Linked DNA regions of Notamacropus eugenii. The protein of the gene in region 4 interacts with the protein of the main gene of each other region in a pairwise test. Links are inferred from orthologs where the notes say so. Each region holds a gene or a part of one and is shown on either strand. Other genes may lie near its edges. The genes, in order: TSTD2, USP2, DDX6 and VPS52.

The links.
Region 1: the proteins of VPS52 (region 4) and TSTD2 interact in binary tests that used the Homo sapiens proteins (3 or more experiments, as listed by UniProt). The two-hybrid records come from large-scale screens. The link is inferred for Notamacropus eugenii from reciprocal best matches to the Homo sapiens genes VPS52 and TSTD2.
Region 2: the proteins of VPS52 (region 4) and USP2 interact in binary tests that used the Homo sapiens proteins (3 or more experiments, as listed by UniProt). The two-hybrid records come from large-scale screens. The link is inferred for Notamacropus eugenii from reciprocal best matches to the Homo sapiens genes VPS52 and USP2.
Region 3: the proteins of VPS52 (region 4) and DDX6 interact in binary tests that used the Homo sapiens proteins (3 or more experiments, as listed by UniProt). The two-hybrid records come from large-scale screens. The link is inferred for Notamacropus eugenii from reciprocal best matches to the Homo sapiens genes VPS52 and DDX6.

Annotation. Positions count from the first base shown.
Region 1 is NC_092874.1:314,403,493-314,410,552, forward strand, and holds the start of TSTD2 (thiosulfate sulfurtransferase/rhodanese-like domain-containing protein 2), read left to right. Parts: upstream 1-4,050; 5' UTR 4,051-4,195; coding exon 4,196-4,210; exon of another isoform or gene 4,211-4,226; intron 4,227-5,125; exon of another isoform or gene 5,126-5,202; intron 5,203-7,060. Other genes in the region: NCBP1 (nuclear cap-binding protein subunit 1), read right to left, coding at 3,133-3,166.
Region 2 is NC_092876.1:279,333,989-279,341,835, forward strand, and holds the start of USP2 (ubiquitin carboxyl-terminal hydrolase 2), read left to right. Parts: upstream 1-4,834; 5' UTR 4,835-5,047; intron 5,048-5,905; exon of another isoform or gene 5,906-6,099; intron 6,100-7,847. UniProt on the Homo sapiens protein: Hydrolase that deubiquitinates polyubiquitinated target proteins such as MDM2, MDM4 and CCND1. Isoform 1 and isoform 4 possess both ubiquitin-specific peptidase and isopeptidase activities.
Region 3 is NC_092876.1:280,062,911-280,070,686, forward strand, and holds the start of DDX6 (probable ATP-dependent RNA helicase DDX6), read left to right. Parts: upstream 1-4,773; 5' UTR 4,774-4,881; intron 4,882-5,030; exon of another isoform or gene 5,031-5,284; intron 5,285-5,718; exon of another isoform or gene 5,719-5,802; intron 5,803-5,974; exon of another isoform or gene 5,975-6,096; intron 6,097-7,776.
Region 4 is NC_092873.1:89,290,931-89,298,421, forward strand, and holds the start of VPS52 (vacuolar protein sorting-associated protein 52 homolog), read right to left. Parts: upstream 3,011-7,491; 5' UTR 2,940-3,010; coding exon 2,874-2,939; intron 2,570-2,873; coding exon 2,485-2,569; intron 2,301-2,484; coding exon 2,248-2,300; intron 2,055-2,247; coding exon 1,979-2,054; intron 1,788-1,978; coding exon 1,720-1,787; intron 1-1,719. Other genes in the region: RPS18 (small ribosomal subunit protein uS13), read left to right, coding at 3,427-3,429, 3,954-4,052. UniProt on the Homo sapiens protein: Acts as a component of the GARP complex that is involved in retrograde transport from early and late endosomes to the trans-Golgi network (TGN).

The DNA.
Region 1 (7,060 bases), on a different chromosome or scaffold from region 4:
CTTGGCCTTACAAGTTGAGGCAGAAAGAAGTATCAATAAACTATCTTAAGAGCAATGGTAGAGATGATACATTTTAAGAACACTAGGGAAGTTGTGGTAGCTCCCAAAGCTGTAACTTGTATAATAAACAGTGTTACAATGTAAAGGTTGTCTATGGAAGAATCCTACTAAATACATCTTGCAACGATTCTTAAAAACTTCATCATGAGTCAAGATTTACTAAGATATAAATAAAAATTTATGAGAAAATTGGAAAACAAAAGTTTCAAGAGAAGAGAAAGATGCCTTTGATTGTGTAAGGCTTTAACAAAACTAATCATCTTTTTCAAATTATGCTCTCCCTCACACTAACTGAATGGACTCTAGTCTCTAGTCTTCATAAAGTTAAGCTATAAAGTCAAAAAACATTTAACTCAAGGTGGATGAAATCTATTTAGTATTAATTAGGCAGAAATTAGGAGTATGAGCCAAGTATTTTCTAAATATGTTTCTGTTTTTTTCTATGAACTTCAGTCATTCATCTCTCCCCACATTTCCCGAACTTTTTTCATTCTGCTTATGACAGCCTGTCCCTTAATCCCAATCTATATCTATCTGAGACACAGTGCATGCAAAGGCAAAAGTGGGACAATCTCTCTCTTTAAGAATCAACTGAGGTATCACCCTCTTCATGAAGAGTTCCCTGATCCCCCCAGATGAAACTGTTCTGTTCCTCCTCAATTTTTCCTAGAGTATTTTGAATTCATCTTTCCTTTATTCCTATTATGCTCTACCTTGTATTATCTGTATCTATATAAACAATATCTTTTCCTCCAGCAGAAAAAGTTCATTTAAGACAGGGGCTATGTCATTTTTCAACCATGTATCCCCAGTTAAGGGCAGTTTCCTACACTTAGTAGGCACTTGAAATGTTTTTTTTAAATTAAAATGAGAATGATTTACAATATATATTTGCTATGTTAAGTGATGATAGGTTTATAGTTGTATATTTCCATTTAAGACATATTTTTTTCATGTTCACATCTCTGTGGGAATCTCCTTTTTTTAAAAAAAAGTGGTAGTGAAAAGTATCAACTTGAAAAAGGTGTAAAAAACTAAAGTTCCCTCCAGAGACAAAAATAGGGATTACTCTTATGCCAATGTAATTTAATTACTGTGCATGTTACATATTTTTTAAAAACCACATATTTAGTGTATTTAATTACTTGTAAAAGACATGAAATATACTTCAGTGGATAAATATACTTAGCAGACAGTTTCAATCAATTGTAGCCAGAAAAATCATCATTGGAGTGCTCAACCTGAGTGACTCCTCATTTACCTATGCTTGTCCTCATCTCTGGGACTACATTCAAAATCTTTCCAGTTTGACAGGGTACGATAAAGCCTGGCATCCACTGACACAACTTTTGAAAATCCAAGGAGATGGACTTTAGCAAAATACAGATTTGCAGATCACCTCTAAATTTGCTCATTCTGACAAGATCTCTAGTTCAAATGAATAAAAAATGTTACCTAAGTTCATTGTCAACCTCTCTGATAAAGAGAACAATCACATATTTATTTCAGAGCACTACAGAGGAAAGGTATGGCAAAAAAGATTTTAAACTGTTGGAGATCAGATGATCATACTTCATCTTTCTACTTCTAGGCATCTAGCACAACAGTTAGCACCAATCAAATCCAGATCTAAGATTTCATCCCTGCAGGGAGATTCCAATAGCAAAAATTCTCTCCTTGAACCAAAACTAACAGGTAATTATTTCAGCTACTTTAAAAGTCTTAGAAGGTTGCCTGGCACAACTTACCCAGAGTCACAAAACCAATACCAGTCACACACAGGATTTGAACTCAGGTCTTCCCAGACTCTGAGACCAGATCTTTATCCTGGAGGTGTGGTAAGAAACAACCCTTAATAAATATTCAGATTCACAGGCACAGCCACCTAACTTTACATAGTAAGATGAACTGCCAAATGTGACAAAGGTATTAAGCAGCAGATTTAACCCAGGTTGTCTGGATCCGAAGCTATTAGCTCTTTCACCTGAACCAAAACAAATGAAATGTAAAACACTAGTCCCTTCCAGAATCATATTGCATTTCAAAATGCATATTTTAAAATAAATCTTAGTTGTTAGATTAATACTATTACTGTTGTTACAGTCACATAGAACATTTTCTGAGATTTTTACATTTTTATGAGAAACTTCTGATACCTGCCTAGTTATGTTACTGCAGCTTCAACAAGTCTCCATAATATGTATTTCCCTGAACATGAATTTGGAATCCTGCTCTGAAGAATCACTCAGGGTCTTGTCCTTTCCCTCTAGAGACTACCAATAAAGTTACAGAATTCTGTTTAAAGAGCGCAGCTATGATAGGTGTCACACGGTGAACCTGTTGCCCATCCTTTCTAAGTGTCCACAAGAGAACGCCCCTGAAGACAGACAGCTCTGTCCACAGCAGGGGCTCTTAAAGCCAGTCAGTAATGCTGTTGTCCTTTTAAATCCTTCGATAACCACATTTTCAGATCACTGGTTTCCTCGGAAATCCTCCTTCATGCACTCAAAGACGTTATCTGAAAAAAGGTCCACAGGCCCCGAAGGAGCCCACGACGCGCACGAGAAGGTGAAGAACCTTCATCTAATGAGTGATGCCAGTTTCATATTTTTTGGTTAATGCTCGAAATAAGAACAAGACGTGGGTGAAAGTCAAACAGGCCCCTCCTGCTCCATCTCCTGATGCGGACCGAGGTCCTGGCTCGGGCAGCCAGTGCTGGGAGGTGACGGGGCGTGAACCCCGGGGGGTCTCGGATAGATCTGCGTTTATCAATAATGGCTAACGTTAGCACAAGACTTTACTACTTACAAAGGCTTTACGTATATTCGCCCTTGATCTTCACAACAATGCTGAGTACATCCTAAGTTATCACGCCCACTTACAGACGGGGACACTGAGGCCCCAGCGGCCCTACGTCACGGCTGGGAGCGGCGGAGGCCGCGCTGGAAGCCGGGGCTCCCGGACCAGAGGCCTGCAGCGGGATCCCGGGAGCGGGCCGGCTCCGCAGCCCCGCGCCCGGCCCGACCTCCCGGCCGCCCGCCCGGCCCGGGCCGCCGCCGCCCGCTCACTTACCGTCGTTCTCGTCGCTGTGCCGCCGCCGCGACATCCTGCCCGCCGCGCGCCCCTCCGCCTCCGCGGCCGCCGGAGATCGCGGGAAACCCGCGCCTTTCGCTTCACGGCAGCGGGAAAGGGCGGAAGCGGCGAGGGGAGGGGGTGGCGAGGCGGCGCGGGGAGCTGCGGGCCGGCCTGCGGCGCTGACGCACACGCACGCTAGAGCTCGCGCGAGCGAGGCGGGCGTGGAGGCTGGGGGAGGGGAAAGAGGGCACCTCCCGTCTCCACCGTCCCGAGGACGTCCCGTCAGGGTCTCGGGAGGCCGGGCGGGAGGCGTCGCGTGTGAGGGAGCCTGAAGCGGGAGAGCCCAAGGGAGCGGCCCAACAAGGCCGCGGAGCGAACTTCCGCCGCCTTCTCTCTCCCCTCCCCTCCTCCCGCTCCTCGCGCTTAATCTTCTTCCGGGAGAACAGGGAGCGGGGAGAGCCAGTTCCTAGAGCGTCGGTCCCGGCTGGGCAGGCGCGCGTCTTAGGGAAAGGGCGGGGGGAAGGGAGGAGGAAGGAGTCTCGGCCAGACGCTAGGCCGCGCGGAGCCGAGGTGGTGACGCTCTGGGCCTTCTGTGCCACTCGATGGTTCTCCCGACTGCCCTTGCGCCTGCCGGACGTAGGCGACGTCTGGGCTGAGGGGCCGTCTGTAAAGTACCGGTCGGGAGGAGAAACGTGCCCGCGAAGGGCTCTCGGGGGACTGCGTGTTCCGGTGGTTGCTAGGATAGACGGGCCCGCGGGTGGAAGCCCCCCAAAGACGGGAGCCGGCCAGGTAGGTACTTCCTGCGACCTCCCGGGTGTTCTGTTGACGCTTCGGACCCCTCCCCTCCCCCCGGGTCAGTGCGCGTGGCACGGGGGCCCCCGGGGGGGTGGGCCGGCAGTCCTACCCCTGAGAGCCATAACTGACGTTGATGGCCGGCCTGGAGACCGGCAGGCCTCGTTAAGGCCTTCCTCTCTAAGGTGGGGGTTGTTCAGTTCTGTTTTACGGAGGGGGAAACTGAGGCAACTCTGAAGAACTGAAAACGAGTGTGAACAAAAGAGGAATGGAAAGTCACACGGTGTGTGCACAGGACGGTGAGCCTGGAACACCGGGGTGAAGAGAAGACACTGGCAGCCCGAGGGCCCTCTGCTGGCACTCTCTGGCAGTCTGGAGGGGGGGAAGGCTGCAGGTAGTGGCTCAGAGGCTGGAGCGCCGGGCCAGAGCAGGTCACTCACCCGCTGGAGAAGCCCCGGGGGGCCATGGCCGAGCTGTCCTGCTGAGTGGCCAGCCCTCTTGGTGTGACGGCCTCCAGACCTGTGTGTCCGGCAGTCTGTCTGCCCTTCCTGCTGTCAGACTTCAGCTTCAGTGTAAGGCCTGCATCCCCCCTGTGTCACCGAGCTTCTGTGTTTGAAGTAAAGATGCCAAGGCCTGTGGGTGGCATGCACCTTCTTTTCTGGGTCTTCAGAAGAGGCAGGGTGGCAGCACCCACAGAGGCAGCTGTCCGGTCCGCTCCCCCCCTTGTGATGGTGGACTGGCCTAGAAGCCAAACTAACACCAGCTGGAGGTGGTACATGCCAGCTGTGCCAGAGGTCCTCAGGCCCAGGGTCCTGCGCTGCCTCTGCCAGGCTTGGAGGAGAGGTGGTTTTTGTGCCTTGGCTCTCCTTCTGGATTCGTTAAGTTACCCTTTCACTTGCCAGCTAGCGTAGAGGACCCTTCCCCCTTTTAGAGTCCGTGATTCTCCCCTTTCCCTCGCCCACCAGAGTCTGTGACCCATCTGGCTTTAGCCCGGGTCAGCCGAGCGAAGAACGAAGAATGGACTAAGAGCTGGTGGTGAACGATTCAACGGAACCACAGGCGGTGGAGTCTATGAATTAGGGAGGTTTCCTAGCCTCCTAGCTGAACCCAGTGCTGCCCATAGAATAAGAGTGTGTGAACAGGCTGACAGGAGGGCATGATTCTAAGCCCTGAGAAGCTCATCGACATCCTGAGGCCCAGGTGCTCGCTTCTCCAAAACAGGATAGTGATGAGGAGTAACTTCCTTTCAGTGTGTGTATAAATACGTGTCTTTATGTAAGTAGATTTTTTTTTCTGTAAAAGAAATAATATAGGGGGCGGAGCCAAGATGGCGAAGTAGAAAGACGCACATACACATAGCTCCGAACACACAAACCACAGAATGGCTAGAGGGGACCAAGCCAGGGCGAATTCTGCACCCAGAGACCACAGAGTATTGGAGCGAGGGAGATTCCTGCTCCGGAGAGACCTGCGGACCTCTCGCGGGGGGGGTCCTTCACGCCGCGGACTGGGCTCTGGGACGAGGACCAGAGTATGGCCCTGCCGCGGCCACGACACTGAGGGGAGGAGATCCGAGAGGGCTACGGGGATGGGATCTCCAGCGGCCACGCGGGTCCCCACAGAGGGACCTGCAAACCTCTCGCAAAAGGTCCGTTGCACTGCAGATGCAGAGCCCAGCCCGGACCTGCGGCGGCGGCATCGGCGGCCACGGCTCCAAGACGCACAGATCTGAGAGGGCTCCAGAGGCGGGATCTTCAGCGGCGGCACGGGCCCCCCCCCACCAACAGGTGACTGAAGGGGGTGGGTGAGAGAGTCTCGTTGGCGGGTTGAGAGGGGAGTGGGGTGCCCCCAAGGCTCGGCCCCCCCCCCGGGAGGTGGGGGCTGAGAGGCAGCTGCGGACGGGGGCTCCCCAAATGGGCAGGAGCCTGGATCCATTGTGGAAGGTCTGTGCATAAACCCCCAGAGGGAACTATGCCTGAGAGGCGGCCCTGCCCCTGACCACCTGAACTTAATTCTCACACTGAATAGCAGCCCTGCCCCCGCCAAAAATCCTAAGGCGGGAAGCAGCATTTGAATCTCAGTCCCCAAACGCTGGCTGGGAGGACCAGGAGGCAAGGTGGGTGTGAGGAGAACATTCAGAGGTCAGGCCACTGGTTGGAGAAAATGCCAAGAAAAGGGAAAAGAAATAAAACTATTGAAGGGTACTTTATCAGAGAAAAGACACTTCCTCCCTTCCTTTCTGATGGGGAGGAACAATGCTTGCCATCAGGCAAAGACACAGAAATCAAGGATTCTGTGTCCCAGCCCACCCAATGGGCTCGGGCCATGGAAGAGCTCAAGAGGAATTTTGAAAATCAAGTTAGAGAGGTGGAGGAAAGACTGGGAAGGGAAATGAGAGGGATGAGGGAGAAGCATGAAAAGCAGATCAGCTGCCTGCTAAAGGAGAACCAAAAAAATCTTGAAGAAATTGGCACCTTGAGAACTAGCCTAACTCAGCTGGCAAGGGAGGTGCAAAGGGCCAACGAGGAGAAGAATGCTTTCAAAAGCAGAATTAACCAAATGGAAAAGGAGATTCAAAAGCTCACTGAAGAAAATAGATCTTTCAAAACTGGAATGGTACGGATGGACGCTAAGGACTTTTCGAGAAAGACAGATATCTCAGAACATACCGCGCAGATTCGAAAAATGGAAGATAATGTGAAATATCTTATTGGAAAAACAACTGACCTGGAAAATAGAATCAGGAGAGACAATGTAAAAATTCTGGGACTACCTGAAAACCATGATCAAAAGAAGAGCCTAGACATCATCTTCCATGAAATTATCAAGGAAAACTGCCCTGAGATTCTAGAACCAGAAGGCAAAATAAATATTCAAGGAATCCGCAGAACACCGCATGAAAGAGATCCAAAAAGAGAAACTCCTAGGAGCATTGTGGCCAAACTCCAGAATTCCCAGGTGAAAGAGAAAATATTGCAAGCAGCTAGAAAGAAACAATTCAAGTATTGTGGAAATACAATCAGGATAGCACAAGATCTGGCACCCTCTACATTGAGGGATAGAAGGGAATGGAATAGGATATTCCAGAAGTCAAAGGAACTAGGACTGAAGCCAAGAATCACCTACCCAGCAA
Region 2 (7,847 bases), on a different chromosome or scaffold from region 4:
CTTAATACAAAGTCCAAATAGATGGACTTCAACCTTTTTTTAAGACAAACTCCTAAAGTAGGTTACATTACAGAAGATGAACTACAGCTTTATACAAACAAAACAATATTTTCCTTCAGTATAAAACAGAAAATAAATAAATTCCCCTTGTAAATAAGCCTTATATAAATTCTTAAGTACTCCTTAATCATTAGTGTTATATACCCGAATTATGTACCAGATGTCCTAATTAGGTCTTTCTCAGATACATACATCTCCCAAGACTAAATTATTTTACACTAAAATTGTTTATTAAAAATATTTATTTCAAAGTTTATATTCCTTCTCATAGGACACAATATTCTTACTACTTAATATATGTGGAAAGGAATATTAATGAGTGCCCAACAAGTTGGTATCAACTTTACTGTCTGTCCAAGATTTTTGTTTGTAATCAGTTTAAGTCTGCGTATAAAACTTACAAAATTATGTACTTGACATTAAATGCCAACTTTTTAAAAATAAATAAAAGAGAAATAAATCCAGTATCTCTGCAAGGAAACCTCAAATGGGGGTCATGAAGAGTAGGCCATGACTCAACAACAACACAGCTAAGGATAGGAGATATAGTCTTAACCAAACAAGAGTTAGAGGCAATTACAAAAGATAAAACAGACAAGTTTGATTACCTGAAACTGAAAAACTCTGTTCAGACAGCATTAATGCATCTCAATAAGAAGGGAAGTGATCAGTAGGGAAAACTTTGTATCAAATTTCTCTGATAAAGGTTTGTATCCAAAACATATAAAATATTATCTACACGTACAATACATACATATATACATATATGTATATATGTATATATATACATATATGTGTGAATGACTAATAGCTTGTTCCCAAATAGATAAATGGTCAGAGGATATGAACAAATTTCAAAAGAACCACCAAGTATTCACAACCATATGAAAAAGTATATCAGATCACTAATAGAGAAATGCACATCAAAATAACCATGAGGTTTCACTTCAAAACAAATTTACCAATTTGCAAAAAATGACTTTTTTAACAATGTCAATAGTCAGTGTTGGAGACCTTATGGAAAGGCAGGCATGCTAATATTTTATTGGTGGAGCTGTGAAATGGTACAACCATTTTGGAAAGAAAGTTGGAATCATGCAAACAAAGTGACTAAAATGTCCATACCCTTGGAACCAGAGACTCCATTACATGGTTTATATCATAAATAAGTTATCAACAAGAAAAAAAGTCCCTATATGTGCCAAAATATTTATGGCAACATTTTTTTTTGTAATAACTAAGAATTGGAAACAAAGTAGATGCCCATCAACTGGAGAATGGCTAAACAAATTGTGGTTCATGAATGTAATGAAATACATGTAGTTGTTCTTCAGTTGTTTTAGTTGTATCCAACTCTTCATGACCCCATTTTGGACAAAGATACTGGAGTGGTTTGCCATTTTCTTCTCCAATTCATTTTACCCATAAGGAAACAGGGGCAGCCAGGGTTGAGTGACTTGCCCAGGGTCATAGTAAGTGTCTGAGGCCATATTTGAACTCATGAAGACTCTTCCTGACTTCAGGCCCAGCATTCTATCCACTGAGCCACCTAGTTGCACATAATAGAATACTATGGTGCTGTGAGAAATGATATGTGTGTGAGGAATACAGAGAAGCATGGAAAGATCTATATGAACTGATCCAGAGTGAAGTAAGCAGAGCCAAGAAAACCACAAACACATTAACTACAATAATGTAAATGGAAAGAATAAAATCAAAAGTAAAAATGAACAAAATTATGAAGTCCAAATAGAACTTGAATGAAAAGATATGAGAAAATAGTCCCAAACCATCCACAGGTGTTACAAACTGCATTATTTTTAAGACTTTTTCAAGTACCAATCAACTGTGCTGAGTTTTACCCCTCTCTCTAAAAAATACTATTAACAAGTATGCTGAGTTTTTCCCCTCTCTCTAAAATATACCATTAATTATATAAAATAGCTCATAGGGAAGGGAAGGGGAGGAATACGTGGAATTCTGTGGTGATTGAAAAAAATAAAATAAGAATAAAAATTTATTTTAAAAATATTTTTTAAGAAGATCGGAACTCTAACTCTGTTTCCTTTCATTATACCATGTGGCCCCAACCCTGAATCAGAATTAATTTTTCCTCCCTCCTACCAAGAGATATGCTTGTAAAAGTTTAACAACTATCACGCCAGGAAAAAAAAAATGTACATACAATACACTTTTAAATTTAATCTACATTAACATTTTCTTTATCACTTCTTTACTATAAAATTAATAAAACAATAAATCAAGCCTTAATTTGTAGGGTTTGCTGCTTTTCGAGGTGTAAATGCTCACATTGAAAATTTAATAATCTGTTCTCTAGAGCTGGTGGGAGATGACTCCAGCACACCCCTGCCTCCCATCCAGAAGTTCCCATTTTGTATTCTCTAATAATAGCTGTCATTCAAAGATCAATTGAAAAAATTAAATATTTAGTATGGAAATGGCAAGACTTAAAACAGGAATGATCACTAGTTTCAATTATTTAAAAGGCTGTCATAGGGAAAGAGAAAGTATACTAACTGCAGAGGGTAGAACTTACAGATATGTGTGGAAATTATAGAGAGACAAATTTGAGCCCACCTTTTTTTGGGAAGAAGCTTCCAACAATTAGAGCAGACCAAGCATAGATAACATGGCTCAAGATAGTGAACTCCCTGGCATTTGAAGTATTCAAGAAAAACCAGAGAGGTCAATTACCTCTCCCACATTCCTTACAGGGAATTCCTATGGTTGGTCTGGAAATTGAAATGATGACCTAGAATTTAAGATTCTAGTCCATGAGTCAAGGATTTATTAAGTGTGTCCAGCACTGTGCTAAGAATTCTAGGATTCTATCTACCCTGGGTGACTTGTAACTTAATCCACTCAGTTCTCCAATGCTGTCCTAGTTGATACATCAGCCAGTAGGGAAGCACATGGTCCATTTTACCTGTTGAGACTTATAACCCAAATCATTCTTCACATTCCGTTGGATTTTTTCTCCCATCCACCGCTCTTCTTGCAACGAATCCTACAATACCACTGCATATAGAACTATACTCCCTCCTACTTCTTGTTTTGGGATCAATAATCAAATCTGCACTCTCCAACCATCTCATGGACCCATAACTAGCTTGAGATACAACTTCTATCCTGGTGGGGGGAGGGATTAAAGGGAGGGAGGTCAAAGGTCCTAATTAATAGCTCTACCATTTTTTCTAGAAATCCCCAACTGTATTTCACTTCATTCCTTACTGTCTAGACAGTTTCTCCATAACTTCCCCAACTGCCTAGCTGCCTCATACCATTTTTCCTTCTCACTCTCTCCAGTGCTGAAAGCACAAATCATGATTAAATCAGTTCTATCATTTGTTCCTGCAAGAGTATATGGCCCCATTCAAGATGCCTGTAATTAAAATGTTCCTCCCTGCCCACCACTCTGCTGTATATTTGCTCTCGCCTTTTAGAATGTAAGCCTGGCATTTTGCAGGAGACATCTGGTCCATCCCAGCCTGCCTACTCAATGATCCTTTAAACTGTCCTTTTACAGTGACTCTCCAACCCAGATTTTATCTGCACCTGGCCCACCCCAGGCATTCACCACTCCTTAATTGATCCATATCTTCTCACTGTCTTTTCTCATATACAAGTAACAATCTTACCCTCACTACTACATTGCTCAGACTCACTTAGAATCTAGCTGGCTTCTATTGGCCTCACAAATAAACCTTGCTACTTAGAATGAAAGAAGGATTGAGTGGTCAAATTCTTTCAAGGCAGACCCCCTGAATCCTTCATTTCCAGGTTCCCAGCAAGCCAAACCACATCATAATGTGTCAAGGCAAGCCAATTGATTCTTCTATTGGTTCCACATTCCTATGTCCTCTCAAACTAAAAAATCCTTCCTGGAACACCATTAACATATTTGCTATCCCCCCTAATTAGAATATAAGCTCCTGGAGGACAGAGACTGTCTTACTTTGCATTTTGTTCCCAAAACGCTAACACCAAGCAAGCCCATAATGATTCTTTCATTCAAAGCCGTTAGAAAATGCTGAATGAATGATGAAAACATAAATATCCAAATTCCTGGTTTCTGCCCCAGTCTTTTCCCATACAACTCCTGTTAACTGAGCTCCTCTCACAGACTCCCTGCCTCATTTTTCTGAGCACTCTCAAATGAACCCATTTCTATTACCCCGGTGGGGAGCAGTTTGGAGCCTTTCAGAAGCGAGAAGTGGAGGGCCGAGCTGAAGGGGAATGAGAGATCTTCCGACTGAGTGGAAAGTAACAGCGAAGGTTGTTGGGAGGCTGATGTATTTATTGCTAATGAGATGAATGACCTGAATCCATTCCAGGAAGCTTAGAGCTAGTCGGGTGGATGCTGATTGGACCACTGAACGCGAGGTTGGTTGCTGTAGCAATCTGCACCCGGGAGAATATTGGTCAAAAACTCAGATTTCACGGTTGCTCCCCCCCAAATAATTTGCAGAACGGGAGGGTTGGACTACATGGTCTTTAAGTTCATTTCTGACTCTAAATCATAACTCCTATGGATCCTCTTGCTCCTACACCTTTGCAACACTCTCTTCCTTTTCCTCCAGTCTCCACCCCCTTTCGCCCCGCGTGCTTCTCTTCCACGTGGCTCTGTTTACATCAGTTGCCTGGGAAACTCAGGCTGGGAGGAGCTCCATCAAGTCACAATAGTAAAGAGCCAATGGGTGCTCCACGTCTCAGTGACGCAAGGACGCACAGGGCGTGGCTAGGCCGTCCTGGAATGCCGTATGGCGATTCCCCGCTGGGTGGCGCTGTTCTCCCGGGGAGGTCTTCATTGGGGCCCCTGGCGGAGGTGGGGAGAGGCGGGCAGGAGCCGGGGCCAAGGAGCCCTCTGCGTCAGCTGTTGCTCACTGCGCCGCGCCAGTGTCAGGCGGGACTTACCCGCAGCTCCATGCCTGTTTTCGGCTTGGCACATCCACCCTTAGAGAACCAGGTAGGTGCCACCTGTTCGGGATTGGGGCAGAGGGAGGATAAGGAGCGACCTCCGCTGGGGCAATGCCCGGGGTGCCCCCGGAGCCAGAGCGGACCCCGGGGACGTGGGGGTGGGCACCCTGCGGGGCCAGGGCTCAGGCTCGGACACTCGTGGGGGGAGTGTCCGCCGTGCCAAGGCCGGCTCCTGCTCTGGGTACCAGCCCGGAGTACTGCTGCTTTGCCGTGCCCGGAACCAGGCTGCCCTGGGTGGCGTGTGCCTGGGTATATTTCGGAGGAGCGGGACGTGTGGTGTGTTGTAGCCTATTGTGACAAGAAGGTTGTGTGCCGCTCATTTACTGCCCCCCTGGAGGGTTTTCTGGGGGGGAGGGGGAGGGGAGGAGGAGGCGAGAGAAGAGAGGAGAGAGAGAAGAGACAGACAGACAGACGAGCTAGTGTGGTCTGACTGTCAGCCGGGGGAAGGCAGCAGTTCAGTAGTGGAGGAGAACTGCTGCCAATCTCAGACCGGAGGAGGTATCTTTATAACCGCCCCCTCCCCCCCCATCATCTAAAGCAGCAACTTAAACTTTACGTTAATAGTTATTCACGTTTTTATAGTGCTTTAAGGTTTGTGCTTTCCCATATTACTCTTCCCCACCTCGAATAGGACTGAGCATCCCCACTTCCACCTTGCTTTAGGTTTAAGGATGAGAGAGCTGGATCTCACTGGTACAGAGCTGAGACTGAGGATGGGGAGAAAAACTAGGAAACGACCCATTGCCTAGATTATACTGAGGCTTACAGAGTTGTGGGAGACCAAGGAAAGCTTGGAGAGGGATCAGGTGATTGGAAGTGCTGAAACTCAGCCCCTTTGATGCTGTAGACTCATGCCCCCTTGGGGTCAGGGAATGAGGACTGGAATGAGGACCTGAGTGCATCATCAGGACCCAGTGCTGAGTCAGTGGCATCAACTGGGACAGGGTGGAGACAGGTGCCTTGAGACACCTACACAAAGGTGGGCTACGACAAGGACTGTGAAACTCTTGGAGAGCAAGATGAAAAAAAAGGCCTAGAAAGGTGAGAAATGCCATTTTTTCCCCTCTATATCTAGTATAAAGGCAGAGCCCTATGAAATGGATCCATCAAGAGTAGGACTCAGTTGGGTATTTGCCTAGGCACCAGTGGGACCTTGTACTTTTCTCACTTTTTTAAGCCTAAAGGAAACAGCAGTGGTCTGAAACGCCTGGACAAACACTTGATGTCTCCTTGACTAAGGCATCCTGGGAATTTGTTCAGCCTACTTTGTATACCACAATGGTGGTGGGACCAATCCTGCCCTGGTTATGAGAGCCAAGGGATTTATACGTAGACATATAAAAGAAAGCTTTGGAGTTGCTTTTTAACTTTAGAAGCAAGCATGGCACTTAGGGTTGACAGACAGGACTCTTTTTTTTTTCTACCTAGAAACATGTAACCTCCAGATAATTTCAGTCCTATGCTTCCTTTCACCCCAAGCTACAACCAGTGCACTCTGCCACCTTTTCTCTTTCCCTTTCTTTTCATTGAATCCCTTTTTGTGCTGCTTCTTACTGTATCCTTCCCTGAGTTCTTTTAAAGTCACCCTTCTGTCTAGTACCTACTCATTAGGGACAGTACCCTCCCCCACCTTAGGTGGGCATAACACTGCCCCTTTAAGTCTCTCTGGATCCTGGAATGTGAGTGAATTGCTGTAGCCATCCCTCTGAGGTCAGATAAGATACTATATATATCAGAGCCAGTAACCTGAGCTCCGGATTACCCAGCCTGGAGTCGGGCTTCACTCCTCCACCTTCCACTCCATCCCATGCCCCGCTGGGGAAGGAGAGGCCCCCAGAGTCCCGATCAATCCTTTTCCCCTGGACACAGGTCAGTGACTGCCCCCACTATGCATCTAAACATACATAGGTGCTGCTGCCTGGTGCCTGCCCTTCTAGTAGGTCTGGGGGAGTTGGGGCAGGGAGGGGGTGGTGGGTATAGATGACAGATGATTATCTTATCTATCCAGCCAGGTCTAGTGCTGTGAACCAGGCCAAGACCTTAGGAGATGGAGAGCAAAGGAGATACAAGATCTGGCCAAGGAATGGAAAGAACCGGCTACGCAATAGACTTAGGGGACCTCTTCCTAAGGGTTTTCCATATTGCCTAAAATGTCCAGAACACTATTGTATGTTCATGGTAGTAGTGAAGCAAGTTTGGGAGCATTGAGGCAATGATTTGGGAGCACTAGCACCATTTTTGCTTTCTCTGGAAAATATAAAGATATGCTTCCCAACTAAGACACTACCGTGGACCCACATATGTACCTTCTTTTTCAATTATTCATTGTTAAAGCTTTAATCTGATCTCTGGGTCCTACTTCCTTACCTTCCCCACCAGGCTCCTAAGAAACTTGTAGGAAACATTAAGGGGGTTTCATTTTTCTGACTGATTGCCACCACCCCTAAAGGAGTCAGAGTTTGTTAATCATATGAGGGATAATGTGCTCACCCCTGATAGATATGCTTGCTAAAAGAAGGCTGAGAACAGGCTCAGGTTAGGGGAGGAGGTCTGAGAATAAACAGAGCCCTTGACCAATGAAAATATCAACTATACCATCCCCCCTCTCCTCTCTACCTGTGCTCCTTTTTCTGTCAGAACACCCCCAGATCTGATCTGCCTTGGACTGGCACTCATGCCTTAGTGCTTTCCTGCTTTCCCCAAAGAGATGAGCACAGTAGTTTGGGCCCCTTTCTTGCCCCCCACCCCACCTACCTTCCATAGAAGGCACTTTAGTCTGACCACATTCC
Region 3 (7,776 bases), on a different chromosome or scaffold from region 4:
GTCAGGTTTGATCTTTGTTCTTCTTCCCATTTATAGTTTTGCAGTTATAGTGAATATTGCTTCCTGGTTTTGTTTACTATGTATTAGTCTGCATAATAAGTCTTCATATGCTTCTCTGTATTCTTCGTTTTCATATTTCATGGTACGATAATATTCCATTTCATTAACTTTACTCAACAGATTTCTCTCCTGCCCTTTCCTATTTCTTTTTTATTAGTTATTATAAGTGATTGTTCCCTTAAGAAAGGCAGGGGAAGGGAGAGGGATACATTGGGAAATGAAGGTAAAGTAAAATCAAAAGATATAAAAGAACTTTAAAAATACTTGTTGACAAGATGGCAGAGTAGAAAGACGGACCTGTAGAAGCTCCCCCACATAGCCCATAAAATACTTGTAAAAAATGACTCTAAACAAATTCTAGAGCAGCAGAAGCCACAAAATGACAGAGTGAAAGAGATTTCCAGCCCAAGACAGTCTGGAAGGCCGAGAGGAAAGGTCTATTGCACAGGGAGTGCAGCAGATTGCAGCCCAGCATAGGACAGGACTGCTACAGGCTTCAGGGCACCACTGGAAGCAGCAGTTCCCAGACTGCTCAATCCACTAACGCCAAAGACAGCTTCAAAGGTCAGTGAGAAAGCTCTTTCACCTGAGTGAAAAGGGAACATGGTCTGGACCTGCCAGCAGCAGCCACTGCAGCAACAGCATCCATTTTAGAGCTATCTGCTTAAAGACCCTGAGGGAATTGAGTGGCTAATGTGGATCTAAGCCCTGAGTGGCTCTCCTGGGTTGCAGAAGAGTGCTGGCAATGGAGGTGGGGGTGGCTCTGGAGAGGGAACCCTGCTGAAGATCCTGGATAGAACAGAGTACTTGTGGTTGCTCCCAGACCAGAGCACAGGCCAGGACAGGAGTAAAATTCCTCCCTTGATTGTGCTACTTTGGAGAAAGTGAGAACTTATAGGTCCCCAGAGTATACCTTCCTCTTGACAAAAGACTCAAAAGTCAAGTAACTGGCTGGGAAAATGACTAAAAAAGGGGAAAAAGAATACGACTATAGAAAGCTACTTTCTTGTTGAACAGGTATTTTCTTCCTTCCTTTCGGATGAGGAAGAACAATGCATACCATCAGAGGAAGACCTAGAAGTCAAGGTTTCTGCATCCAAAACAGCCAAAATAAATATGCAATGGTCTCAGGCCATGGAAGAGCTCAAACAGAATTTTGAAAATCAAGTAAGAAAGATGGAGGAAAAATTGGGAAGAGAAATGAGAGCAGTGCAAGAAAATCATGAAAAGCAAGTCAACACCTTGCTAAAGGAGACCCAAAAAAATGCTGAAGAAAATAACACCTTTAAAAATAGGCTAACTCAATTGGTAAAAGAGGTCCAAAAAGCCAATGAGGAGAAGAATGCTTTAAAAAGCAGAATTAGCCAAATGGAAAAGGAGGTTCAAAAGTTCACTAAAGGAAATAGTTCTTTAAAAATTAGAATGGAGAAGATGGAAGCTAATGACTTTATGAGAAACCAAGAAATTACAAAACAAAACCAAAAGAATGAAAAAATAGAAGATAATGTGAAAAATCTCACTGGAAAAACAACTGACCTGGAAAATAGATCTAGGAGAGACAATTCAAAAATTATGGGACTACCTGAAAGGCATGACCAAAAGAAGAACCTAGATATCATCTTTCATGAAATTATCAATAAAAATTGTTGATATTCTAGAACCAGAGGGCAAAATAAATATTGAAAGAATCCACCAATCACCTTCTGAAAGAGATCTGAAAAGAAAAACTCCTAGGAATATGGTAGCCAAATTCCAGAGTTCCCAGGTCAAGGAGAAAATATTGCAAGAAGCTAGAAAGAAACAATTTGAGTATTGTATAAATACAATCAGGATAACACAAGATCTAGCAGCTTCTACATTAAGGGATCAAAGGGCTTGGAATATGATATTCCAGAAGTCAAAGGAACTAGGATTAAGACCAAGAATCACCTACCCAGCAAAACTGAGTATAATACTTCAAGGGAAAAAATGGTCTTTCAAAGAAACAGAGGACTTCCAAGCATTATTGATGAAAAGACCAGAACTGAAGAGAAAATCTGACTTTCAAACACAAGAATCAAGAGAAGCATGAAAAGGTAAACAGGAAAGAGCAATCATAAGGGACTTTCTAAAGTTGAACTGTTTACATTCCTACATGGAAAGATAATATTTGCAACTCTTGAAATTTTTCTCAGTATTTGGATAGTTGCAGGGAGTACACACACACACACACACACACACACACACACACACACACACAGCACAGGGTGAGTTGAATAAGAAGGGATGAAACCAAAAAAAATAAAGGGGTGAGAGGTATATGTTGCGAGGAGAAAGGGAGAAATGGAATGGGGCAAATTATCTCTCACAAAAAAGGCAAGAAAAAGCTTTTTCAATGGAGAAAAAGGAGGAGGTGAGAGAGAAAAATGAAGCTTACTCTCATCCTATTTGGCTTAAGGAAGGAATAACACACTCACTCAATTTGGTATGCAAATCTATCTTATATTACAGGAAAGTAGGGGAGAAGGGGATAAGTGGGGTGGGGAGATGATAGAAGGGAGGGCAAATGGGAGGAGGGAGTAATTAGAAGTAATCACTTTAGGGGAAGGACAACATCAAAAGAGAGAATAGAATAAATGGGGCACAGGAAAGGATAGGGGAAATATAGTTAATATTACACAACATGACTATTATGGAAGTCATTTGCAAAACTACACATATGTAATCTATATTGAATTGCTTGCCTTCTCAGTGGGGATGAGTGGGGAGGGAGGAAGGGAGAGAAGTTGGAGCTCAAAGTTTTAGGAATAAATGTTGAGAACTGTTTTTGCATACAACTGGGAAATAAGAAATGCTTGTAATGGGGTACAGAAATCTGTCTTGCCCTACAAGAAAAGAGAGAAGATGAGCATAAAGGAAGGGAGAGGTGTGACAGAAGGGAGGGAATATTGAGGGAGCAGGTAATCAGAATGCATGGCATTTTGGGGTGGGTAGAGGAGAAAGATGGGGAGAAAATTTGGAACTCAAAATTTTGTGGAAATGAATGTTTAAAACTAAAAATAAATGAACATAAATAAATAGAAAGGAAAAAAATACCAGTTGAATGAGAGAAAAGAATTTTAAAATCCTCTAGTGAAAAAGGCAAGATGGCACACCTTTCCAAACACAATGTTTTTATACTTTGACCATTGACTAATGCAAAGACGCCCCCTGGACCAAGATATACTATCTTTGTAAGTAATCTTTCTTGGCACTAGACGAAAACCACCTAAGAATCTAGCAAGGTCTACTAGCAACTAACTTTGCACCCAGGAACAGATAAGAACTAAAGGAGGCCTACAAATGGTCCACAGCTGAGTTCTAAGTTGGCTGAGCTGTCTAGATAAGGGGCTAAAGAACTGCTGCCTCTGGGGTATTGAGGTTCTATTAAAACCTGCCATAGATAGATTGGTGGATGACTAAACAAACTGTGGTACATAAATGTAATGGAAATACTCTGCTCTAAGAGATGAGAAGTAGGATGAAGACGGAGAAGCACAGAAAGATATCCACAAACTGATACAAAGTGAAGACCAGGAAGATCACATATACCATGACTACAACAATATTAATAAATGAATAACCACAAAATAATTGAAAATAAATGCTGAAAAATTTTAAAACAAGCTTGACTCAAAGAAAAAAGATGAGAAAACATCTCCTTCTATTCCTTTGTACTAATGGGGGCCCCTTGTGTTTGGAAGATTGCATAAAATATCAAATATTTTTCCCACTTATTGGGTAATTTTGCTGAATTTTTTCCTCTTAAAAAATCTTTGTTATAAGGGATCTCTATCTGGGAGGAAGAGTGTTGAGATACAGGAGCGAAATCTAGGTGAGATAAAAACAAAAGACTGATAAAAATATATTAAAAATGAAATACTAAATCTGAATGGGAGAGCTGAAGAAGAATTACATTCATTGTCAACATACCTTTTTCAACCTTCGTATCCTCCCTCTCCTTCTGCTGAAACCCAAGGTTAAAGCTTTGTTTTCTTGACTTTCTAGACCCTCATTTTCACCTCTGAACATTGCAACCAAAGCCTGTTCTCCATTTTTCCATGAAACATGAAGAGGAGTTGAGGTCACTGGATAGAGACCTACATGAATCTCTTTCTTTGGGGATGGCCACAACAGACAATAAGCATTTATTAAGCGCCTACTAAGCACCCGACCAAGCCCTGGAGATACAAGGAAAGACAAAAGACTGTTTCTCCTTCCAAGGACTTCACAATCTAACGGAGTTAGAGAGATGAAGGAGAGTATGTAGAACGAAACATGATTTACTGGACAATTTGTTTTCCTTCATTATGCTGGTTACCAGGGTTTTCCTTCTTTCCTCTCCCCCTCACAGTGGCGGGTAGGGTTGTGAGGGGGGAGGGGAATACTATTTTTTTAATTGAGAAAAATTAATTTTTTAAAAAAAGAAAGATTTGGACCGCCTCTAAATCCCCTCCCAGCTGTAAAACTTACTAACTTATTATGGATCATCCCATGGGAGGTGGGGAGGTGGTTGGGGGGGAAATAGATTTTTCCTCATTGAAATAAATAATTGAAGAAAAGGTTTGGACAGGCTCTCCATGCTGCCCCGCTGCAAAGGTGAGCCGAAGCCATGGGGGTCCTGCCACAAACTCACCTCCTTGTTCTCACAGAGGGCACCGACCCCCCTCCTTCGTCCCGTCAGCGCTCACAATGCCTGGCAGCAGAGCTACCTGCCTGGAGAGAGGCATGTGTACATTAGGTATCATTGCCGCCGGGGCTCCCGGAAGACCCCGGTTCGAATCCCAGCTCGGCACTACCGAGGTTAGACTCTTTCCCCCTCAGACGGGGGTCCCCCGAAAGAGGGGCGCCGAGCAGCGAGCTCAGTCTCCCCGTCTGGGGGCTGGGAGGGTTACGGGGGAGCTTCTCTTGTTTACTCTTATCCTGGCGGCGGGCACCACCGGAAGGCGAGATTTTTTTTCCTGGCACTACCCGCCGGACGCTCGCCCGCCCCGCCGCCGAGGCTCCCCGTCCTGCCCGCAGGACGCGCCCCCTCGCTTCGCCCGCCCGCCTCACAGGCCGCTCAGCCGCCCCGGGGTGCGCGGGTGGGGGATGGGGAGCGGGCACCTCCGCGCTGGAAGCAGGGAGGGCAGCAGCTCGGCCGCCCAGGAGCGGGGGTGCCTCCCTCCGGCCACAAGCAGGCGGCCCCGCCACCGGGAAGCATCAGGTCGGTGGTCGCCCCAATTCTCAGCCCCGAGCCCCTAGCCCGCGCCCCCCGCCTGGGGAGGGGGCCGGGCGGGCCCTCGCGCCCCCGCCCTGCCTGCCTCTGGGCCCCTTTTTGAGGGCGCGCCCCATCCCCCCTGACGCCCCTCAGAGAGGGGCCCCGAGCCCGCCGTGCCCGCCCGGCAGCCCCACGTCCCGGAGCCCCTGCTGTCGCTGCCGCCGGCCCGACCCCCCGGCCCTGCCGAGGTGGGGGCGCTTGCCCCCCGTTTTCTCCTCAGCGAAGACTCGGGCCCCCGGTAGATGGGGCGGCGGCGGGGGCGGCGGCGGCGGCGCAGGAGGCGGCCCCGGCCCGGGGCTCGGCCCGAGCTCTCGCCATCTTGAGGGGAGGAGGAGCCGCGGCCGCCGCCATGCGGGGAGGCAGGGAAAGAGGGAGGGCGGCAGCGAGGGAGGGGGCGCGGCGGCGGAGTTGGCTCGGCCCGGTCGGCGGCTTCGGCGGCGCCATGAGAGCGGGGAGCGGCGGAGGTAGGCCGGGCGCAGCCGGGACGCCGGGCGGGCTGGCTGGCGGGCGCGCCGGGGCGGAGCGCGGCGTGGAGGCCCGAGGGGAAGCTGCTGAGGGGGCTCCGGTGGCCCTGGGGCTGGACTGGGCCGGCCCGGCCGGGCCGGGGAGGGCTGGGCCGGGGGGCGGGCGGGCGGAGGGTTTCGGGGAGGAAGGAACCGCCGCCATCTTGGGAGCTTCGAGTCAACAATAAAGGAGCCGGGGACCCTGGCGGCGGCGGCCTCGGCGCCGTGACACAGGCCCCAGCCGCGGCCAGTGGGGTGAGGCGCCGAGCTCGGCCGCTGCCGAGGCGCGGGGGCTGCGGGAAGCGGGCCGGGCCTGTCAGGGGAGGGGGCGCTCCGGGGCGGAGGCCCGAGGCCCGGTCGGGGCCTCGGGGGCAGCCTAGGAAGCGGCGGGGGCTGCGAGGGGTAGAATCCGAAGGCGAGGGCCGAGGGGGGCCTGGGACCGGGAACCGAACAGGGCGAGGAGCGGGCCCGCGCCAGTGACAGCTTTATAGGGACTGGGGGATGTGGGGGCCGCAGGGCCGGGGGACGTGGCGTCCCCCTACTGGGGCGGCGGGGGGGGCATACTGCGGCTCCCCGTGGACAGTCCCCTCTCCACCCTCCCCCCGCGCGTGGACAGTCGGGGTGCTGGAATGCCCTCCGTAGGTTGAGGGGGAAGGGGGTGAGTCTTCGGGCCCCGAGGGGGAGGGGGAATCCCCATTGTTTCCCGCTGGCTGAGCTGGCGGGGCCGCGGCTGCTCCGCCAGCGTTGCGCAGATCCCATTGCAGGGCCCCAGCCTCTTTGTTTTTAAGGCCGAAGGAAGCGGCTCGGGATGGAAAATAACCGAGAAATGAGCGGCGCACGGGCGGGGGTGTCCCCCGAAGTCGTCGTGCACTTCTCCCTTCGACTTGTCCCCCGCTTCGTTCTCTTCTCCGTCCTTCCAGACCCACCTCCCTCAGAATGAAAGCCCCCACCCCAAGGCTCCTCCTGGGCTAACCCTAAAGGGAAGCTGCGCCGCCGTGGCAACAAAAGCCGGCGGGGCCGAGGAGTTTTGGGGTGCGGAGCTGTCATTGGCGAGCTCGTGCAGGAAGCGCTGCCGCTAACTCAGCCTTCCTCTCTGCGCTCCGGTGTAATTTCTGAACATGCAGCCATGGAACTTGGAGACGGAACTTGGTCTGCTGAGGAGAAGGGGGGGATGTTATTGCTCTTGTGAAGCGGCCGTGCAGCTTCTCTCCCCGTTAGAAGTGGGGTCCCCATCGGCCGGCTGGGCGAGCGGGAGCGGAACGGCGGCGTTACCGAGCCGGACCGGGCGCCCTTGTCATGCCCGGCGCTTCGCTGGCGTTCAGTCATCCTCCCAGGCTCCTCGGGTGAGGGTGCTGGCGGTGTTGATGCTCGCAGTGTAAACCTGTCACAACAGGAAGCCTCCGAAGTGAGCGGCCGTCCGCAGGGCCGCGGGAGGGTTTGTTTTAGCAGAATTCTGGCCTTCTTAGGAGCAGACCGGTGTTCGGTAAAGGCCACCCAGCCTTTTCTTCAGGAGATGAGTTTTAGAGTCAGGGAACGTCTTCCTGAGAAGTTTCCGTCCAAGTCGTCTTGGTTTTCTTACACGCTGCTTTTGTCTGCATGAGCCTCGGTGTTTGTTGGCGGACCGAGCGTGGCTTACCGAGTTTTCTAAAAGGGCGCATGGCTCATCTTAGTGGGGGAAGGCAGCGTGGTCTGGGTGAACAGTCCGGCTTCTTTTTCCCGACGTTTTCAAGGCTGGCACGCGTAGTATTTCGCAGAACCACCGTCTGGTGTTTTTGTAGAAAGGAAGTCGGGCCCTTCCTTGCGCGCTTTTTGTTTGCTGCGCTGTGTGCGGTGTGAACTTGGACACGGCACTTTTAGAATGCAGAGCTTGCTCGAATTAAAATTTAAACGATTCAGGTAGCCTTTAAGTCCTCTGGCCAGTTTCCAAGCAGAAGC
Region 4 (7,491 bases):
TCATGACTGAGGACTGAAGCTGCTCCCTAAAGTCACCAGTGATCTATTACTTGCCAAATCTAATGGCATCTTCTCAGTCTTTATCCTATTTGCCTCTCTATCACAATTGCTATTACTTGACATGACCACCCTGTCCTTCTAAACATTCTCTCCCTTCTTGGTTTTTGTGACTCCCTCTTTTCACTCTCCACCTACCTACTTGACTTCTTCTTTACTAGATCATCATTCATGTCATTTCTTTTGTCTGTATACCCCAAGGATTTGTCCTGGGCCCTCTTCTCTCCCAGGTCTGTCTATTAATAACCAAATGCACTCCCATGAGTTCAGTTACCATCTCTATATATTCATCCCTGTCTGGCCTCTCTCCTGAGCACCAGTCCTTCATCACAAACTGTCTACTAGACATATCTAATTGAATATCCTTCAGGCATATGGAACTCAACATATGCAAAACAGAACTCATCTTTTCCTCCAAGCTCACCGCTCTTTCAAACTTTACTTTTATGATCAAAGGTACCTCCCAGTCACCATCATTTCATTGAGCATGACTGCTCATTCTCCCTCACCCTACATATTTAATTGGTTTCCAGATCTTCCAGTTTCTATCTCCCTAGTATCTCTCAGATCAAGCCCTTTCCCCTACTACAGCCGTCACATTAGTTCAAGCCCTCATCTCCTCTTGTCTATACTATTGCCACTGCCTCCTATTTAGTCTCCCTGACTCAACTCAGCTCTCTTCCCCAATACAAACCATTTTCTATATAGCCCCCAAAGTAACTTTCCTAAAGCACAATGAGTGAAAAAGGACTTCCTAAGCACTTATACATGCAAAGCAATGGAGATAAAAAAATAGAAAAGCAAGACAATCCTTACTCCATGTATTCTAATAGAAAGATATAACATATGTAAGAGATTCCAGCTGCAAGTTAGATGAAAAAACCCATAGTCCTTAGGGTATAGGAACAAGGCAACTGGTAAACCACCTAGTAAATTTCTATTTATTTATTTATATTTACATATTTTTGTATGTAAGTATATTTATACAAAATATAAAAAATAAAATGTAGAATAAAAACTTCAAAAATAAATAATAAAATGTATGATAAATGTATTTTTTAAGCTATATTTGTTTATTTAATAGGCTCCAATGGCTCCATCCCTATTACCTCCAAGAACAAATGTAAACTTCTCTATCTAGCATTTAAAACTCTTTGCAACCTGGTCCCTTCTTACCTTTCCAGCCTTAGTATATAATACTCCCCTCCACGAATTCCAGGTTCCAAGCATACTAGTCTGATTGCTAGTCTTCACACAAGACATCCGATCTCCCAACTGTGTGTCGTCTCTTCCTCCATACCTGGAATGCCTACCCTCCTCACTTCTGGTTTCCTTCAAAACTCAGTTCAAGTGCTACTTTCTACATGAAGCCTTTTCTGATCCCTCCAGTTACTAGTGCAAACCTCCCTAAAGTAACTTATGTTCTGTATGTAAATGCTGTATCTATCCCTGTCCTCTCACTAAGTGTAAGCTCCTTGAAGGCAGGGACTAATCCATGTTTGTCTTTGTATTAAAGAGTTTAGCAGAGTTCTTAGCATATTATAGGCACTAAATCCTGGTTCATTCGTTGTGTCATGGACCTTAGAAATGGTTATCAGTGTTTCTCTGCCAATTGAGATTGCATAGAATATTGGGAATCACATGAAAAATTGGTTTACTAACCTCAAGGACAGCATCACAGGCTGTGATCTGGTTATGTAGTGATGCAATGTTCTCACTTTCTTGGATATCTGAGCCATGGGCAGTTAAGAGAATTCACAGAAAGGACAGAGACCCCCAAATCTTTGAAGAACCCTCACATGCCAACCACCCACCTTCTCATGTGTCACATCTGGGATGAGAGGAGACAATTCTGGCCATACCTTCCACCTCACCCCTCAAGTCAGTGACAGAAACTCCCATCTTTTTCCCATGAGGATACAATCTCGGATAGATTTCTGTTCTATCTGCTGTAGCTCCAGTTCCACCTGCTTTGAATAATGACGGAGATCCACACCCTGGGAGAACCAGAAATAAGACAATTTTAGTGGAAAGAAATCACTGAGCTTAATGCTCTGCAGGGTGTAGGCAGGGATTACGATGAGAGAAAAATATCAGGGGATTTCGGTATGGAAGTCTTTGGGAAACATTACTGAGTGTGAAATGGAAAAACAGAGGACAAGGGACAGAGGATGTTGTAGGGAGTCTCACCGTTTTAAGAGCCTCCTTTACCAAATCATCTTCTAGATTTGCCTGAATGTGAACTAGACCCAGAGAGAAGTCATGAGGATCCAGGCATACAGTTCTTTCCCTCCCAGGAGCCCTCCCTGCAAGAACTCAGGCATCTGCCCCGCCGCAACTTCCAGCCCGTCCTCACTTTGGAAACTCAAAATCCAGGGTCGGTCCCGGTCCGCCCGCCCCGGTTCCTAGCATCTAATCATCCCTCACCATCCACTTCATCCAGGATGAACTCCTCAGACGTGATATCCAGCTCTCCCAGCTGCAGTGGCTCCTGGAGCCCGGGGCCGCTCCCCTGGAGACAGAGCAGTTAGTAGACGAGCTGGGGATGGAACGACGTGGGGGATGGGGGACATCTCCCCCACCAAAGCCCACCCTTTGTGGAAAAAATGCCTGTATGCGAGGCTGACGGGTACGACAGCACACGCTTCCCATACTGAGGCGGCGGCGGCGGCCCCGCGCTCGGACCTGGGGCTCCGGGAGGTGAGTGACAGCCCGGGCTCCTCACCTCCCGGGCTCCGCGCAGCCGCACAAGCCCCGCCCCACCCCCACCCCGCACTCCCAGCCTCGCGGGGGGAGCGCAGACGCGGGCCCCTCACCAGGGCATTCTCGTCCTCGTCCATGTCCGAGGCGCCGGCCGGCTGCATCAGCTCCGGGGCTGCCATTCCTGCCGCCGCTGCCCCGCCCCCTCGGCCACTTCCGTCAGGTGGCTGTCGGAACAGGTCGGTCTACGCCGCGGGTGGGGTACACGCAAGAGAGGCGCAGGAATGACGCCGTGGCCCAAAGGCGTGCGCGTGAAAATCATCCCGCCAATCCCCGAGCTCGTTTGCCGGAGTCCTCTCTACTGGAGACCGGCGTGCGCACACTGCCTGCTCGGGACCGTGTCTTCGGCGAGCCTTCGTTTCCAGAACGGACGGGACTTAAAGGAGCACAACGGAAACAACGCCATAAGAATTAGCCTTCGGAACGCCCCCGCCCGGAAGTGACGTCCATGCAAACGAGTCAGATCAGGAAGTGCCTGGCCTTTTCGAAGCCTTCCCTTCTCTCTTTCGCCCTTCCCCCTCCTCCCCGCCTTCGCGGGCCACTATATAAGGCGAATACGTAACTTCCGTTTCCTCTTCCAGAGAAGGCTCTCACGCCGCCGTTGCAGCCATGGTAAGACTGGCTCCCCACCCGGGTCTAGGGATCCGGCGACATCGGGGTCGGGGGTTTGCGGACCGAACCGGGGACCCTCCGAGGGCGACCCGGCCCAGAGGGCTGCGGTTTGCCGGCGAGATTGCTGGGCAGGCCCGCGCGGTTGGGTCAGGGCGCAGGGTCTCCGGCGTGGAACCGGCTCCTGGGTGCTTGGATAGGAGGGACGGAGAATGGCGCTGGGGGAGGCGGGTGTCGCCCGGGCTCCCCTAGCTCTCGGCGGGGCTGGCCCCCTGGCGAAGGCCGGGAGTCTCGCCGCCTTTACCGTGGCTTTTCGCCTTCCTGGGGAGCTTCCAGCGTCATGCCCAGGCATGAGCGTCCCCCTGGGTTCCCTGCGCCTGAGGGTGGGCGACCTGCCCCCGTGTGTGTGTTTAAGGGGCAGAGGGAAGGGTCTGCCACTGTAACTGAACGGGTGACTCGGGGCGCGGGGCGCACCGGGACTGACTGGTGTTCACCGCGTTGTTCCTCCCTGCTGTCTCGATCCCTAGTCTCTTGTAATCCCCGAGAAGTTCCAGCACATTTTGAGAGTGCTCAACACCAACATTGACGGACGGCGGAAAATAGCTTTTGCCATCACAGCCATCAAGGTAAGGGCCAGAGTCACGGACGTGTGGATCGGGAAGGTCGGGCGAGAAAGGGACTGTTGAGAGACATTGAAGAAGAATCTTCTCCAAGGTTGGGGCAAAAGGAGCAGCCTTCCCCATAAACGATAAGGGTGCTACTTGATGAAGTAAGACGTAAGAAACGCAAAAGTGGTTGTTGTACACCGAGTGGTACGTATCGGTGTAAACACTCGTTCTTTTAGGAGTTGGACTTGTGCTTCACCCCTCCTTACTTGCCCTCTTAAAGTCTGTGAATCTGTGTACTTGTAGCATGTGGTACTAGCGCGGTGCTAGGCACGGCAGACTGGTATGGTGTGAGAAGTGCTGGGTTCAGGTGCCCTTATGCTGTGGACAGGTTAGGAAAGTTGTCTTAAGTCTAGGTTTCCGCATCTGTACAATGAAGGGGTTGATGAGTGATATTTGAAGTCGTTTCCAACTCTAACAGTATAGTCTGTGTCAGTTCCAGCCTTCACTAAAGCTTGAGACGCAGTTGGGAAGACAAATAGGAGACGTTTGCTTAGAAAAGTGCAAGAGTGTATAAGTAGCCTAAACTACTGATTATTTTAACCATCTAGCTTGGATTTTTTTCTTCGGGCATTTCGTCATGTGGCCTATTTTACTAGGCTTTTCCCTTCAGGGCTACAGTGATCTTTCTCCTGAAATTCCAAGTATAATTTTTTGTATACACGCTTGTTGAACGTAATTAGTAAGTGATAAGTGTTCCAGCTGTGCTTTTTTTTGTACTCGGCAGAGGCAGGGTTTGAAACTAGACCTTGGGTGAAGGATAAGACAAAAAATAGAAGCAGCAATCATTGTTCTACTAAAAAAGCCCTAAGTTGGGGTGAAACCAGAGAGTCAAGCTTCTTGTTCTCCACATGTCCTAGGCAGAAATCCCATTCTTCCCCAAATCCAAACTTCCCTGTTTCTGTTTAGGAAGGCCTTCAAATTAAGGCAGTATATGAGAAGCAAAAAGTAAACAAGAGGGGGAGGGGTGGTCAATTTTAGACTGGGGCAGGCAGTCAAGAGAATAGGGCTGAGGGAATTGAGGGGGAGGTTAGTAAACATTTATTAAGTTCCTGTTATGTTTCAGGAAGCGCACTAAGTGCTGGGGGTACAAAGAAAGGTAAAAGACAATCTCCATCCACACATAATGGGAAAGACCACCTTCTGGAGAAGTCTACAAACAAGCTATGTCTAGGATAAAGTGGAAATTAGCAACAGAAGGAAGATAGTAGAATTGAGAGGAATGGAAAGATTTCCTGTGGAAGATAGGTATATGACTGGTACTTCAAGGAAGTCAAGAGCCTCAGCCTTTCAAAATCTGGATCCCTCCTTTCACATAATTTAAAGGATAGTGATAACTTGACTACATGTTCCTCAGGTTTGCATTACCTTTTCTGCCTTTATATAGGTTGTTCCTTAACCTTGGACTGTGCTCCCCCAATTATTGTATATTTATGGAGAACATCTTGCAGTAGATGCACACTTCAGGATGGCACCTGGTCTCCTTCCTCTTTCCCAGCTAGTCAGATAAATAGTAGACACTTGATGTTGACTAAACTGAACATGTTGGGGCTGGAAAAGGTTTTTCAGAGGTTCAAATCTAGTGTGGGCAGGGACCTTAGGTCAGTTAGTCCAAGAGTTCTTAGTGATGGAGGGGGTGTTATTTTCACTAACCTCTTAACAGTAGTTTTAACATTTCCTTCCGTTGTAAAATTAGGCAACAAACCATGGTATTTATAGATAACTCAGTATGTCATTTTGGCTTATCCACTACTTTGAAATTACTGTAGTTGTACTATTTTAATTAACTTCTAATATGTAGTTTCCTTTATGAATTTGTTTTATGCATATTTAAAGATATTCTGACAGGAGGTTTATAGGTTTTACCACACTGCCAAAAGTGAAAGGGAGTGTCCATGACACAAAAAAGATTAAGACACTGAACTAGTCTAGTCTGAACCCCTTATTTTACAAATAAGGAAAATGTGACTCAGAGAAGTTGTGACTTGCCATGGTCAGATAAATAGTCATGCATCAGAAGTAGAAGTAGATTTTAAATTCATTTCCTGAGACTCTGGAGCCAGGACGTTCTCACTGTACCAAAATGGGAAGAGGGCTTGCCAAAGCAGTTTTCTTCAAGTTTTTTTAACTGTCATAGAAAAGAAATCAGAACTAAAAGTAATAAATGCTTTTAGGTTTGATATAAGAAAAAAACTACATATTAGAACTAGCCAAAAGCATAATGGGCTGACTGGAGGTGTTAAGATGGAAGACCTTTGGATTAGATGTGATAAAGAGAAATCACAAGGGACTTACTAAAGCTGAACTGTTTATATTCCTACATGGAAAGATAATATTTGTAACTCTTGAAACTTTTCTCAGTATCTTGGTAGTTGGAGGGACTATATACACACAGAGCACAGGGTGAGTTGAATAGGAAGGGATCATATCTAAAAAAAAAAACTAAGGGATGAGAGAGGAATAGATTGGGAGGAGAAAGGGAGAAATGGAATGGGGCAAATTATCTCTCATAGAAGAGGCAAGAAAAAGGATTGGATGTGAATAGTGGGAGTCTGGAGACGTGACTTAGGTATGAGCTTTTTTACAAAACAGCTTTGGACCATGAGGGCATAGTGTGTTCTATAGCAGTTAGTTGTTTTTCAATTGTGTCTGACTCCTCCATGACCCCTTTCGGGGTTTTCTTGGCCAGGATGCTGGAATTGTTTGCCATTTCCTTTCCAGCTCATTTTACAGTTGATGAGACAGACAAATAAGGTTACCTGACTTAACCAGCTAGTGTAAGTGGGTTTGAATTCAAGTCTTCCTGACTCCAGATCCTACTTCTGCCACCTAGCTACTCATTTATAGCAGTAGTGTCAACTCCAGAAAGAAACAAGGATCTACTAAAACATACAGAATGTTCCCTGGGGACCACATAATGAATTAGAAAAACATTTTCCAACTACATTTTCATTTGGGGCATTCTGGCTGCAGGGAGATGGTGTTAAAGGCCTAGTATGTGACACCTCTGCTTTACAGTATATAGACATTTCACATTAAAATGAGATTGGAGGAGTTACATATGAAAAACAGCAATTATAGGTAGTGTTTAGGGTTTATACAAGTTTGATTGGGGGAAGGTACAGTCTGCAACTAAGCCAGTAAACTGGAATGGGTAGAGAAAAAAACCATTCAAGTGGTGAGGATTCAGAAATTGGATATCCTGAGTTTGCTGTTGAAGGAGATCAGTGTATTTTGCCTTGGGAAGATGACTGAGAGGAAATAAGGGTCATAGCTTTAAAGTACTTGAAAGGCTATAAAAATGGGGTAACTAAGTGTCACTCACAATGGATAGAGTGCTGAGCTTGCAGTTAGGAAGATTCATTTTCATGGGTTCAAACCTAGCCTTAGACACTTAACT